3 linked regions of the Bombyx mori genome follow. The protein of the gene in region 1 interacts with the protein of each later gene in a biochemical or structural test. Links are inferred from orthologs where the notes say so. Each region holds a gene or a part of one and is shown on either strand. Other genes may lie near its edges.

Region 1 (4,196 bases):
TGCTGAGTTCATTAGTACATTAATCAAATTACTTTCTCAACCTAATTTATCTATACCATCCCACGCTGCTAATTTAATTCATACTTACACTGATATTAATAATGGCCAACATGGACAGTTTCGTTCGTTTTTTATTATTCATAAACTGTAAATAGTTCAAACGGTAAAAAAAATCTTATTACTTGACACTGGCTAATGCACAAACCCGCACGGTTTAGCCACAATAAAAAAAGGTACCTATTATAATGTTAGTGATGTAAAGATGGAATAATACCGATATTTGTCAATATTACCTAATACGAATATATTCATGATGTAATATTATAATACCTTAACTAATACGTGAATATATCCTGATATCTTAATATACTTCGATAAAACGGGTAAACGAGTTAAACCTAGTACGGTATTCATGAAATGAGTTAATAATCATAGATAATACACATAAATTAGTTATTAAATTAATATAAATAGTATATTGTATGTAGGAATTTGACTTCATACTAAATATTTTACAAGTAATATTATGTACATTAATAGCCACGCTTGAAAGGCAAACGTGACTAAGCGTGAACTTTACAGTAGACTAATTTAAAGTTGAAATACCTGAAGAAAATAAAATATTTTAACGAATCTAGCTGTAATAGAATCTAGCTAGTAGCTGTAGGATTGAAATGATTTTAATAGACCTACAAATATACATTTTTTGCGCATCGAATATTGTTATTGCCTATCATTTATGTATAAAGCAGTTATTGTCGCTTAGTCACGTTTGCCTTTCAAGCGTCGATATGAATATTATTATTAAATCAGAATTTGGTCAACATTGTACATTAATATAAACAACAATTTAGTAATATTATTTATTTCTTATTGGTGCATAAAAACATCAGCTTTTTTACTTTTTCTACCGAAAGACTGGTACGACGCCGCGTCGGTCAGAAATGAGTATTCTAGAATTCGGAAAAACCTTTGACACGGTATTGAGGCTAGTAGGTACACAACAGTTATAATATTATTATTATAATCCATGAATCGTTTGGTTAGAAAGTCATTTCGATTCAAAAATCAAACTTTTATTTATATTTTGAGAAGTTCTTAGAATATAATTAAATACCACCACAAAAATATATTGTTATCCTAATTTATTACGTAAAAACAGTTGTGGCGGTATTACATTTTGTGTAAAAATATTTTAATTTATGAAATTGTTAAACAATGTCAACTACATACTTACTTTCGTTTTTCAAATTATCCTTTTAAAACCAACTAATTCGAAGGAAACAGAAAATTAAATTAAAATAATGGAAATAAAGCTCACCAATTTTATTCCAATAAATGTGAAAATGCACTATTTTGTCTTGAGTTAGAATCTTTAGTATGAATGAAATGAAGTTTCAAACATAAAAAAGTAATGCATTTGGAAATTCCCACTAGCATCTTTGACATGTAAAAAGTGCAATACAAAATAGTCCTTAAAGTCATAGCGAAATGTACTTATTTTCATTGCTCAGTATATAAACGTATAGATTATCGCACTTACTCTACGCGCATGCAGTATTGATATGAATGTGATAGACAGATATCCGCGAGACACGTACGGCGTATGCCAGTATATTTTCTTGTGATAGATACTTCGCTAGAAGTAACAGTGTTCTGTGAATAGATACAACCCGACCGATGTGAGTTGGCTAATATTATGAATAAGTGAATACGGAATATTAGCATATCAGAATTCGGCGGATTACCGATACACGAATGCAAGCTGTAGAATATCTTAGTGAATACTAACATATCGGTATCACCCTTAGTGAGGATATTGGTCATTCTGTCAATGAAATTTTAGTCTGAAATTTTTGCTTTATAAAATTCGTCAAAGAAAAACTGCGTTCATATCTAATATTAAAAACTAGAATATATCTGTGTTAACATGAACACCTTAGTCAGAAGAAGTTTTCAAGCATTTAATACCACATTGAAGATATCCTGTCGCGCATTTTCAGAAGCTGGAATAAATGACAAAATTGAAAAAATAGTAAAAAATAACAAAGTCGTGGTGTTTATGAAAGGCGTACCGGACGCGCCAAGATGCGGTTTCAGTAATGCTGTTGTGCAGATTATGAGGATGCATGCAGTTCCGTACGAGAGCCATGATGTGTTGAGTGATGAAAATCTTAGACAAGGTGAGTTCGATGCAAAGTAACCTATACAATAGTAGTGACTAGAATTACGTAAATTTTTGTAGTAGCAATAATTTCTTTTATTCAATGCTAATAACAAATATTTTAAGGTGCACTTATGTTGCAATAAACAATTCACATAGTCACTTACTGTCAAGATGTTATTTTCATAAAAATTGGTTTGATTACATGAAAACGAAACTTTCTTCATCCATACTACATGGAGCCACTGCGGTTATCCACAGTGCGTTTCCAGAGATCTTTTTTGCCATGTACCATCCGGCTATGGAATGAGCTTCCCTCCACGGTGTTTCCCGAGCACTATGACATGTCCTTCTTCAAACGAGACTTGTGGAGAGTATTAAGCGGTAGGCAGCGGCTTGGCTCTGTCCCTGGCATTGCTGAAGTCCATGGGCGACGGTAACCACTCACCATCAGGTGGGCCATATGCTCGTCTGCCTACAAGGGCAATAAAAAATAAAAATTTAATTGTTGTTGCATAAAATTTTGACTAGTGCATTACCTACGAGGCCTTTATTACAATTTGAAAAAGTGAAGTTTTTGACTAATGTGCCCTGCTGCCTACTTTGAGTATCATTTAAAAGAAAACGAATGTCATAAGATGATAGACTAATTATTTTACCCACTAGTTTGTGCTTTTAAATGTGATTGTCATTGAAATTACAATAGGCAAACGGAAAATGTATCTCTTATGGTACCGAAATTACAACACATTGAATGCCATAATGGACATCATGTGTCCGACAACATACTATTCCTTGGGGCTGTACTAATGTGTACTAATGTGTAACTCTAAAAATATGAATGAATCTCTACAAAAGCAATTTTTGTAAAAAGTAGATATTATCTCTGATATTGGAAATTGTTTGAATGTATGAAGTTACAATTATAACAATATTTTGCAGGTATAAAAGATTATTCGAATTGGCCTACAATACCTCAAGTCTTTATCAATGGTGAATTTGTTGGTGGTTGTGACATAATGCTGCAGATGCACCAATCTGGTGAACTCATTGAGGAACTGAAGAAAGTGGGTATAAAAAGTGCACTTTTAACAGCTGAAGAGGCAAAGCAAGGGGAGAAGAAAAATTAAAATACCCATCTCAGGTATTATGTATTTAATTTTGTAGTTTTCTATTTGTATTAGAAATTATTGTTTTAATTCATTTTAAGTGGTGGTACTGTATAGAAACAAAGACATAATTGTTAAAATTAAAGTATTTATGAAGAAATCTCTGATGTAATAAGAATTTGTTAAAGTGTGACGATTTTTTGTTTTTGAAAGCCCAAGTCCATATATTATTTGTGTTGTTTTAATAATTTTGTTGTAATAGTTATTGCTTAGTTTTAGGTAGTTATTGTGAAATAAAGTAATGCAAGTTTAAGAGCTCTTTATTTAATAATTAGCTGTACATTCGAGTTAGTATACTTTTTGGGCACATAATAATTTTTTCTTAATCTAAGTACCATACTCCATGTAAAATAAATTGGTTGGATTAACAATGTAGTCAATATTAAAAGACGAAAATATGGCAGATCATTTATTTACGAGTACTCATTCAAAAATACTCTCACAAACGACAATAAATATATAAAAAAAAAGATAAATAAATTGATGCAGGCAAGTTATGGCAATCTATGATATAAATAATTTGTGTGACACTTCCCTGCACTTAAGAATTTAGTAAATTTTAGTTTTGCTACCTTTGAAATAAAACATATTTTTAATGGTAGTTATAAAAATGAAACTTGTATAAATAAACTTAAAATAAAATAACAAAAACATTCTCACAATGTGAATGAGTCTTCATTTGGTGTCACACATTAGTCAAGCCTAACATTAGCACCATTTTATCTTACAAATAATTTTGTGACTTTGCTGAGAATTTCATATAAAAGTTAAAAAATATCTAATGCTATGATATAAATAGAGAGATTTAAACAATATAAATGATTTCTCCAATTTGAGCCAAAGGTTAACATTACTGAACAAAA
Region 2 (4,139 bases), on another chromosome or scaffold:
ATGAAAAAGGAGACGAGACGAGATGAGATAATATGGGATGAAATATAATATAGTAAAATGGTGAATGAGACTTTTTCAGTGGACTTTTTGAAGGATCCCGAGAAGTTACGTTCAGCGGCTTTGTTTTATTTTCCTACATTTGTGCACTTTCACAGATATTAAACAGTTAATAAACCACCGTTATTACAAATTTAATCCTGAAGAAACACTAAATAGACAAAATAAAACAAATCACACAACTTTACTCCACGCGTTCCCGCCAAATAGTCCTCAATGTAGCTGGATTAGCCTCTTATGCTACCAGCAAATAGGGGAACAAAGGTACTTTGTACAAAACGCAACTGTCAAAAACAAACTTAAAGGCGGGAACGAGAAGAGCGGATATCCTACATAAGCCCACTTCTCCCTTATATTTACGTGAGCGATTCTCTTTCATTCGTTCTCCTGATGCTCCCTGCAGGTCCAACCAACGTTCTGTTTTGTTATTCCCTTCCCACAAAACCAATTTCTATTCTCACTCCTTTACTGTGCACGCGGTCAGACTGTGGAATTCGTTGCCGGCTGACATCCGAGTTTGCAAGTCTGTTTCTGTTTTTAAATACAAGGTCAAACAATTTTATCTCTCATCAACCGAATGATCATGGTTCTATACTCTTCGCATATACGAGTGTTACTGTGATACTTATAATATTTGCTATGTGTATGTGCTATAATTCTCATGTTGTATTTGTTATTTTAGTTATGTGTTATTTGTTCTACACACACTTATCACTTTTTATTATTATTCTCATTATCCTCTCGCAGGTCTGCTGGAAGAGATTTCTCAAAGAAATAAGCAGTGCCTTTGTACATAATTTTCCTATTACTCTGTACTGTGTCTTGTTTTCTGTGTGTACATAAATAAAAAAAAATAAGACCGTAGTTGTGTGAAAATGTAACGAAATGAAATAACTGCACTATGTTAACTGTTTTGCGTCTGTCAAAGTGCTCAATTGTAGGAAAATGAAACAAGTTGCTGGACGTGGCTTCTCGAACTCTTCCAAAAAATCCATTAAGGTAATTGATAAAGCCACTATTATTCTACTGAGAATTTATTTTATCCATTTCATTTTTCACTCCGTATCATTTCATAAAACATATTATACAAAAGATTTGGCTGTATGGTATGATATCTTCGCCATTTCAGTTGGAAAAATGGAACTATAATTACTGTCAAAACCAGAAACATTTCAAAAACATTTGTAAAAGAAGAAAAAGTTTATAAAACACATAGGTACATACATACGTAACTAATAAATTTTATTCTTAAAATCGTATCGTTTTATATCTATGTTGAGATTTTTTCAACACCGTAAGTGCCGCTTCTTGTATGCTCTTTATATAAAAGTACTCGATATTAAATATTATAATATGTACCAAATAAACCTTTTATTTTAAATTAATACGTCACCCTGTCGCTAACTAGCATCCAATTCGGGTTACTGTGCCAGCAAAAAAGTATATAATTTATGAAGGCGTTAAAACAAGACCAAAAGTATCTGATAGACAAAAACACCTAAGAACAAACGTAAGTGGAAAAGACCAAGGGAGAGATTTCCATCAAGCGGTTGATTATAGTCAGTAAATCAACTGTCCGAATATTGTCGTTTTAACCCATAAATATGTACTACAAGCTTATCTTGTTAATGTGATAAAGGTTTTTAACAAATTCTGTCAATTCCATTCTTAATATAACAACTTTAAACTATATAAGACACGTCTCCACTACACTAAAATACGCTGCTAATAGATTTGAGGAAACTGATTTTCTTAATTCACTGTAACTTTTGTGGTTCACTAATACATTCCAGGAACAATCAGAAACATGTCATCCGCATCAGGAATAGTCGAAAGTACAATAAGAAATAAATTATTAACAATTTTAGAATCAAAGCATGTCCAGGTGATAAATGAATCCTACATGCACAATGTACCAAAAGGAGCTGAAACACACTTCAAAGTAGTAGTTGTTTCAGAAAAATTTGATGGTTTACCTCTTATAAAAGTGAGTTGTCTGAGCTTTGCCCTTAATACTAGCAGAAATGTTCCTTTTTTTCCTACCATTTGAGTTAACAAAAAAATTAAATTATTAATTTAATATATTTGTAGTATCATGCCAGTATCAGACCTCAAACTAAATGAATTTTAACTTCTTATAAATCTGAAAGGCCTACTAACATTGTTTTAAAACTTAAAATCACAATGCAAACGACACTGCCTACATACAGTTTCGATTTATCTATAGGGTTTAATCTCCAAGAAAATTACGGCACTTCATATAAGTAAACTGGTTGTCTTACTCATGGCATATCAGTGGATGCATTTTTATATTCAAATTCAACAAATATATTATTTAAAAACTAATTCCAGAGACATCGTTTAGTCAATGAACTATTGGCAGAAGAACTTCAAAATGGTGTACATGCACTATCAATAGTAGCAAAAACACCTAAACAATGGGAGGAAAGTGATAAACTGGTTGAGAACAGTCCCAACTGTAGAGGAGGATTTGGTAAATAAACTACACTCGCGAGCAAAAGTTTGGAATCACTTACTTGAAATTGATTCCGCGCGATCTTGTGTACTAAATATTTTTTTGATAATCATAAAAATGAGATCATTTTAAAGGTTGAACTCTTAACTTTAAACTGATACCAAATTCATTCAAATCGAGCCAGTAGTTAAGGAGCTATTCCGGATTAAGTGAAGGAGGTAGGAAACAAAGGAAATATGGAAAAATAATGAATGCATAAAACAACAAAAATTAATAAATAAAAAATTTATTTAGCCTTAAAATTAAATGTCAGTACTTTGTGTTCCCTTCCCTTGCCCTAATAACTCCTCGAAGACGATTCTTCATAGACCTGATCAGCTTTTGAATTGATTCTTGTGGGATACCTTCCCACTTCTCAATCAACGCCGATTTCAGCTCATTCAGGCATGAAGGAGCAGAAGTTCTGGAACGAACCCTATTCTTCAGTTCATCCCACACGTGCTGAATATGATTCAAGTCAGGGCTGAGCGCAGGCCAGTCCAATGTGGCGATATAGACTTCTTCGAAGTATTCAGTTGTTCCACGGGCAGTGTGACAACGAGCGTTATCGTGCTTAAGGAGGAAGCGATCACCGGCATATCCCGCATAGGGAACGACATGTTCCAGCAGAATATTGGAAATGTACCCGTCCGAAGTTGACCGCCTCCTCGTCCCCCACCAGGCACGAAAACAAGCTCGGTTTTACCGTCGAAGGAAATGCCGGCCCACATCATACAAGAGCCGACCCCATAAGCCACTGTTTCAGCGAAACAGCACTGCGCAAATCGCTCCCCAGGCCGCCTGCAGACCCAACCTCTTCGGTCGCTACCATGCAAACACATCCTGCTCTCGTCGGAGAACAGGATTTGCCTCCATTGCTCAACCTCTCAATTAAGATTGGTACGAGCAAATTGAAGGCGTGCTTGTCGATGAGCTACCGTGAGTTTCGGGCCTGTGACAGGCCTTTTTGGAGTCAGATTCGCTTGCTTGAGTCGTCGACGAACTGTCTACTTGCTAGCTGCTACCCTACGAACATCTCGGAGCTCCTGTTGGACGTCGACACCAGGTTAATGCCGATTTCGGAGAGAGGTTAACACGATAAAACGGTCATTCCTCTCCGATGTGCCCCGGCGCCGTCCAGATCTTGGTCTCGGGATAAAGCTACCAGTCTCTTGAAAGCGCTTGCAAACTTTTGAAACACAGGAATGGCTTATTTGGAGCCGACGAGCGACAATCCGCTGGCTGAGCTCTTCTTGCAATAGGGCTACGATTTGTGCTACTTCTGTAGGTGTTGTCCCAATTGTCGTACAAGGTAAAGGGTCAAAAGTAGCCGAGATATGTACCAGTCAACGTGTGAAAGTCGACTGATAAAGAAAATCCGATAACAGTTGCTTTTATAGGGGTCAGTAGGCCGCAACTCGCGACGTATCAAGCAATTGAAACACGTCTTTTTCGTTATTCCTTCACTTAATCCAAGATAACTTCTTAAATACTGGCTTGATTTTAATGAATTTGGTATCAGTTTAAAGTTAGGAATTCAACCTTTAAAATGATCTCATTTTTATGA
Region 3 (3,989 bases), about 9.1 Mb from region 1:
AATTATCACTGCTGTCCCGCCGTGGGCTGTACCGTCTGGATGATTTGTGGAATAGATCTTATATCCTTTAATTCTTATCGAGCTGCTGGTCGTCATGTGTCTCTGAAATTAGGAGAATGTCTAGACTATGTAGACAGATCAGGATTTCCACTTCATCGATGTTGGGTGCCAAGCCATTGATGTTCCATGTAGTTATTTTTAGTGCAGTCATTTTACTAACTTAGAGGCTAGTACTGCAATGAGTTCAAGTAATGTACTCATTTGCTGTAGTACAGTAGCAATCTTTTGGGATTGTTTTATAAACATTTGTTCTATGACTTTATAAGAGTCTGGTTGATGGATTGTATTATTTTGATGTACCTTAGATCTGACTGTATAGGAATACGATTTCTGCTCATGTGCTTTTCTCTGCTTCTGCAGGGGTTCATTTTCCTCTTTATTCTGATTTGCAGATGTTTTATTATCAGTTTCTTTCTTATTTTTTTGAGGTTTATACTTAAATTGCTTATGTTTACGTGGTAAGTGTTGCGAGGTTTTCCTTGATAGGATTTACTTGTATACTTATCGTTGTATTCGAGTTTTCTCTAGATGAAAAATAATACAGGTTTACGAGTTAATAATCTTTGTTACACAAGAGGTGTAACCCAATACTGGTGGTAGGACATCTTGTGAGTCCGCGCGGGTAGGTAACACCACCCTGCCTATTTCTGTCGTGAGGCAGTAACGTACTTGAGACTTTCGAACTTATATGTCAAGGCTATGCATTGCGCTTCACATTTCATTTTATTTTTCTTAAAGCAGAATTTACAAAAGATTATGCTGTATAATGTGATCCTCTCGCCTTTCGCTTGGACAAATTCATAGATTATACGCTATTTAGGTACCTACCTACCATTAAGCGACAACTCTCAACCGAAACATATTGAAAAAATTAAATATATGAATAGACATTTACACGGATTTGAAAAATATCTATAAATGAAGAATACTAAATGATGAATCAAACCTTCTTTATAGTTTTTATACACAACTCTGTTTTATTCTTTTACTTGTCACCTCGACTTAATGTCATTCTCTCTCCATAAAATAAAATGTTCATTGTTTTACTTTAATTATCGTTTATTTTAAAATCCACAACACTAAAGAATTACCTTTTTTCCCTTGAAAAATAAAATTATATATTATGAAAATATTAAACTTAAGAATTGGATGTATGGCTTAGTTCCATTGCCTTTCTCTTCGAGAAAAACCCTTTATACCTACCATTAAAATTATTTTAGGTTAGGTTATCAAAATAAAGAAAAAAGTAAAAGTTTATAGTGAGGTACACATTCAAATTAAATAATTATGGTGTATCAATATTACGTAAAGATTTAATAAAAAATAAGTTTTACTCCTAACTACGTGTGCTAAACAAGTTTGCTGAAAATCCTAAGTTTTAAATACAAAATGTTTCGCAATTTTGTTAAAGTTTTTGAACCTGTTAAAAATCATTTAGTAGGTGCATTTATAATGAATATACATTTCGTGTTTTAAAATGTTATTGACTACATTAGTCTGCTTAATTAGGTGCGTGCGGTCGCTGGAAACGGGGCTAGTACAGGAGCTGCGGGCAGCGTCTACGAAAAGAATTGTGTTTCCAAAGAACAACAACTGACAGATGCATTGAAAAAGGCTATGCCGGGAATCACGTACATCAGTGTGCAAGATATATCTGGGGGTTGTGGCGCTATGTTTGAGGTATGCCAGACTAGTAAATAAATAAATAACTGATCATCCAGCCCCAAATTAGGATTCCCTGTGTTATGGGTACCAGTGAGATACATACTTATTTACCTTTAAAAATAAATATAAACTCCCAGACCAGAAGAGAAAACAAAATTGTTCATTATGCAACATTCAGGTGTGCTGTACTTTGCCACTGAGTATATTTCTAAGGAATTACATAATAATATACAGTTTGGTCATAAATACTGTTATAATAAAATAATGATAATGACATTACATTTGAAAAACCTGTCATTTTTATGATTGTAATTTATTGGGTTGGCTCTTATTTTTGCCAATTTTTGTCAAATATTCTTGTTAAGATGGATTGGATTATGAAAAGCAGGTGGAGAGTACTGTACTTTTTAAAAACACCTCTCCATCTGATTTATATTACTAAAGTAATCTATTGTATTACTAAAATAAAGTAGTAAAGTTAAATCAATTATTAACACTTTAACAAAGTGACTATAACCAGATTGGCAGTGACCATATATAATTTGACTATTCATTTTAGCTATTGACTATTTTTGTCCAGTAGGATAAGCTATACTAATGTCTCCATATCCTTGTTGAATTATAAGAAAATGCACGCACACCTAAGCTAGTCTTTACTTAGTGGCAGTCTCAGCCGGTAAATAAAGTGTTAAGCACATATCAAATGGAATGATAATGGCAATCAGAAAATTAAATATATGAATTTAATAAAAGTCCTCTGTTATTTTTTGAACTATTCATTATTTTATCATGAATTTATTATTTTTTGCTGAGATGTGTGGACCGCCTCATGCAGCCACCTGGTGTTAAGTGGTCACCGGAGCTCATATACTTGAACAACGTAATTGCCACCACCTAACTTGAGATCTAAATCTCAGTTTTCGCTACAAAGGCTGTGAAGTACTTAATTCATCAGAAAAATTAGTATATACCTGCCTGCGGGATTCGAACACCTGGACAGTCACATAGCTCGATACAAATGCACCGGACGTCTCATCGTGCAGGCGATGACCGCTTTTAAAATATCTATGGGCTCTGTTGATCACTTGACGTCAGACTGCCACCTAATTCACTCGTTTATGCAATAAAAAGTACCTAACTACAATCTGTGAAACAAGAAATGGAGTCTTATTTTTATTTTCCCCTCTATATATTAATTCACTACAAAATATTATTATTATTTCACAGATAAGTGTGGAAGCTAAAGAATTCGTAGGGTTGAACAGAGTGAAACAACACAGATTAGTAACAGATTCTCTGAAGAATGAAATAGCAGAAATGCATGGCATCCGTATTCACACGACGCCGGCCGCCACGCAATGAGAATATTGCTGAAGAGGGAAATAGCATCTAAATTTTCTGAAATGACGAATTTCTGGAAAAAATACATAAAAATACAGTTATTGCCATTAGACAAGTATACTTATACTGAAGATTCGCTTTGAAGTGAAAGTCAACCATTAGGAGCAGAATTTTTCCAATTTCTCATCCATCATTTGCAAATATGTACTAAGGTTATGATTTCAGATGAAACGAATAAAAGCATGTGCACTTGTAGAGACATCACAAATTTAATGGTTCTCATCATTCACATGCTCCAAGTATCTTGGAACTGCATCACACAAGCTAATTCCCTCTCTTCTTTTGTATTTTTATTGACCTTTTATGTACATAATTGTTGACATCATAAATTGTTAATATGTTGTAGTGATAGCAATAAGAAATTTTGTTGAGTATCGTATGATATGAATTATATTTGTTAAAATTTGAAATTGTAGATATATTCTATTTGATCAAAATATTTTTTGTTTTATATCTTATTTTCGTTCCCTATACATCCCAGGCGCACTTTGCAGTTTCAACCGTGTAAAATCTGTAATTTCGACAGTAACGACGATCATTAATGTGAGAGGCACCCGGAAGCCGCCGCCCGCTCCAGGCTCAGTACGACTTGAGTATGTGTAGCATTAAGCATTAAGCTCGTTAATGACGAGCTTAATTAAATCTAAACTGAACTCTTAACTACCATCTACTTTTTGTTTTGTATTTTTATTGTGGTATTCCCTTTTTTTAATAGCAGCAGCAATACTCTAATCCCCCCTCACAAGTACTAGCAGCTCTAATGAATACACTAAAGAATCTTAATCAACTGATCATATTATTTATTGTAAGCACAATAACGTTACCTTGAGTTCAAAGAGTAGTTTAGTATAAGTCTGTATCAA

What was found.
Region 2: the proteins of uncharacterized monothiol glutaredoxin ycf64-like (region 1) and bolA-like protein DDB_G0274169 form a complex in vitro, tested with the Homo sapiens proteins (2 studies listed by BioGRID). The link is inferred for Bombyx mori from reciprocal best matches to the Homo sapiens genes GLRX5 and BOLA1.
Region 3: the proteins of uncharacterized monothiol glutaredoxin ycf64-like (region 1) and bolA-like 3 form a complex in vitro, tested with the Homo sapiens proteins (4 studies listed by BioGRID and IntAct, with this or other methods). The link is inferred for Bombyx mori from reciprocal best matches to the Homo sapiens genes GLRX5 and BOLA3.

Annotation. Positions count from the first base shown.
Region 1 is NC_085124.1:9,560,186-9,564,381, forward strand, and holds uncharacterized monothiol glutaredoxin ycf64-like, read left to right. Parts: upstream 1-1,419; 5' UTR 1,420-1,930; coding exon 1,931-2,183; intron 2,184-3,106; coding exon 3,107-3,294; 3' UTR 3,295-3,586; downstream 3,587-4,196.
Region 2 is NC_085115.1:576,008-580,146, forward strand, and holds the start of bolA-like protein DDB_G0274169, read left to right. Parts: upstream 1-1,198; 5' UTR 1,199-1,329; coding exon 1,330-1,351; intron 1,352-1,850; coding exon 1,851-2,044; intron 2,045-2,409; coding exon 2,410-2,559; 3' UTR 2,560-4,139. UniProt on the Homo sapiens protein: Acts as a mitochondrial iron-sulfur (Fe-S) cluster assembly factor that facilitates (Fe-S) cluster insertion into a subset of mitochondrial proteins. Probably acts together with the monothiol glutaredoxin GLRX5. May protect cells against oxidative stress.
Region 3 is NC_085124.1:484,789-488,777, forward strand, and holds bolA-like 3, read left to right. Parts: upstream 1-1,238; 5' UTR 1,239-1,449; coding exon 1,450-1,497; intron 1,498-1,569; coding exon 1,570-1,740; intron 1,741-2,952; coding exon 2,953-3,087; 3' UTR 3,088-3,358; downstream 3,359-3,989. UniProt on the Homo sapiens protein: Acts as a mitochondrial iron-sulfur (Fe-S) cluster assembly factor that facilitates (Fe-S) cluster insertion into a subset of mitochondrial proteins. Probably acts together with NFU1.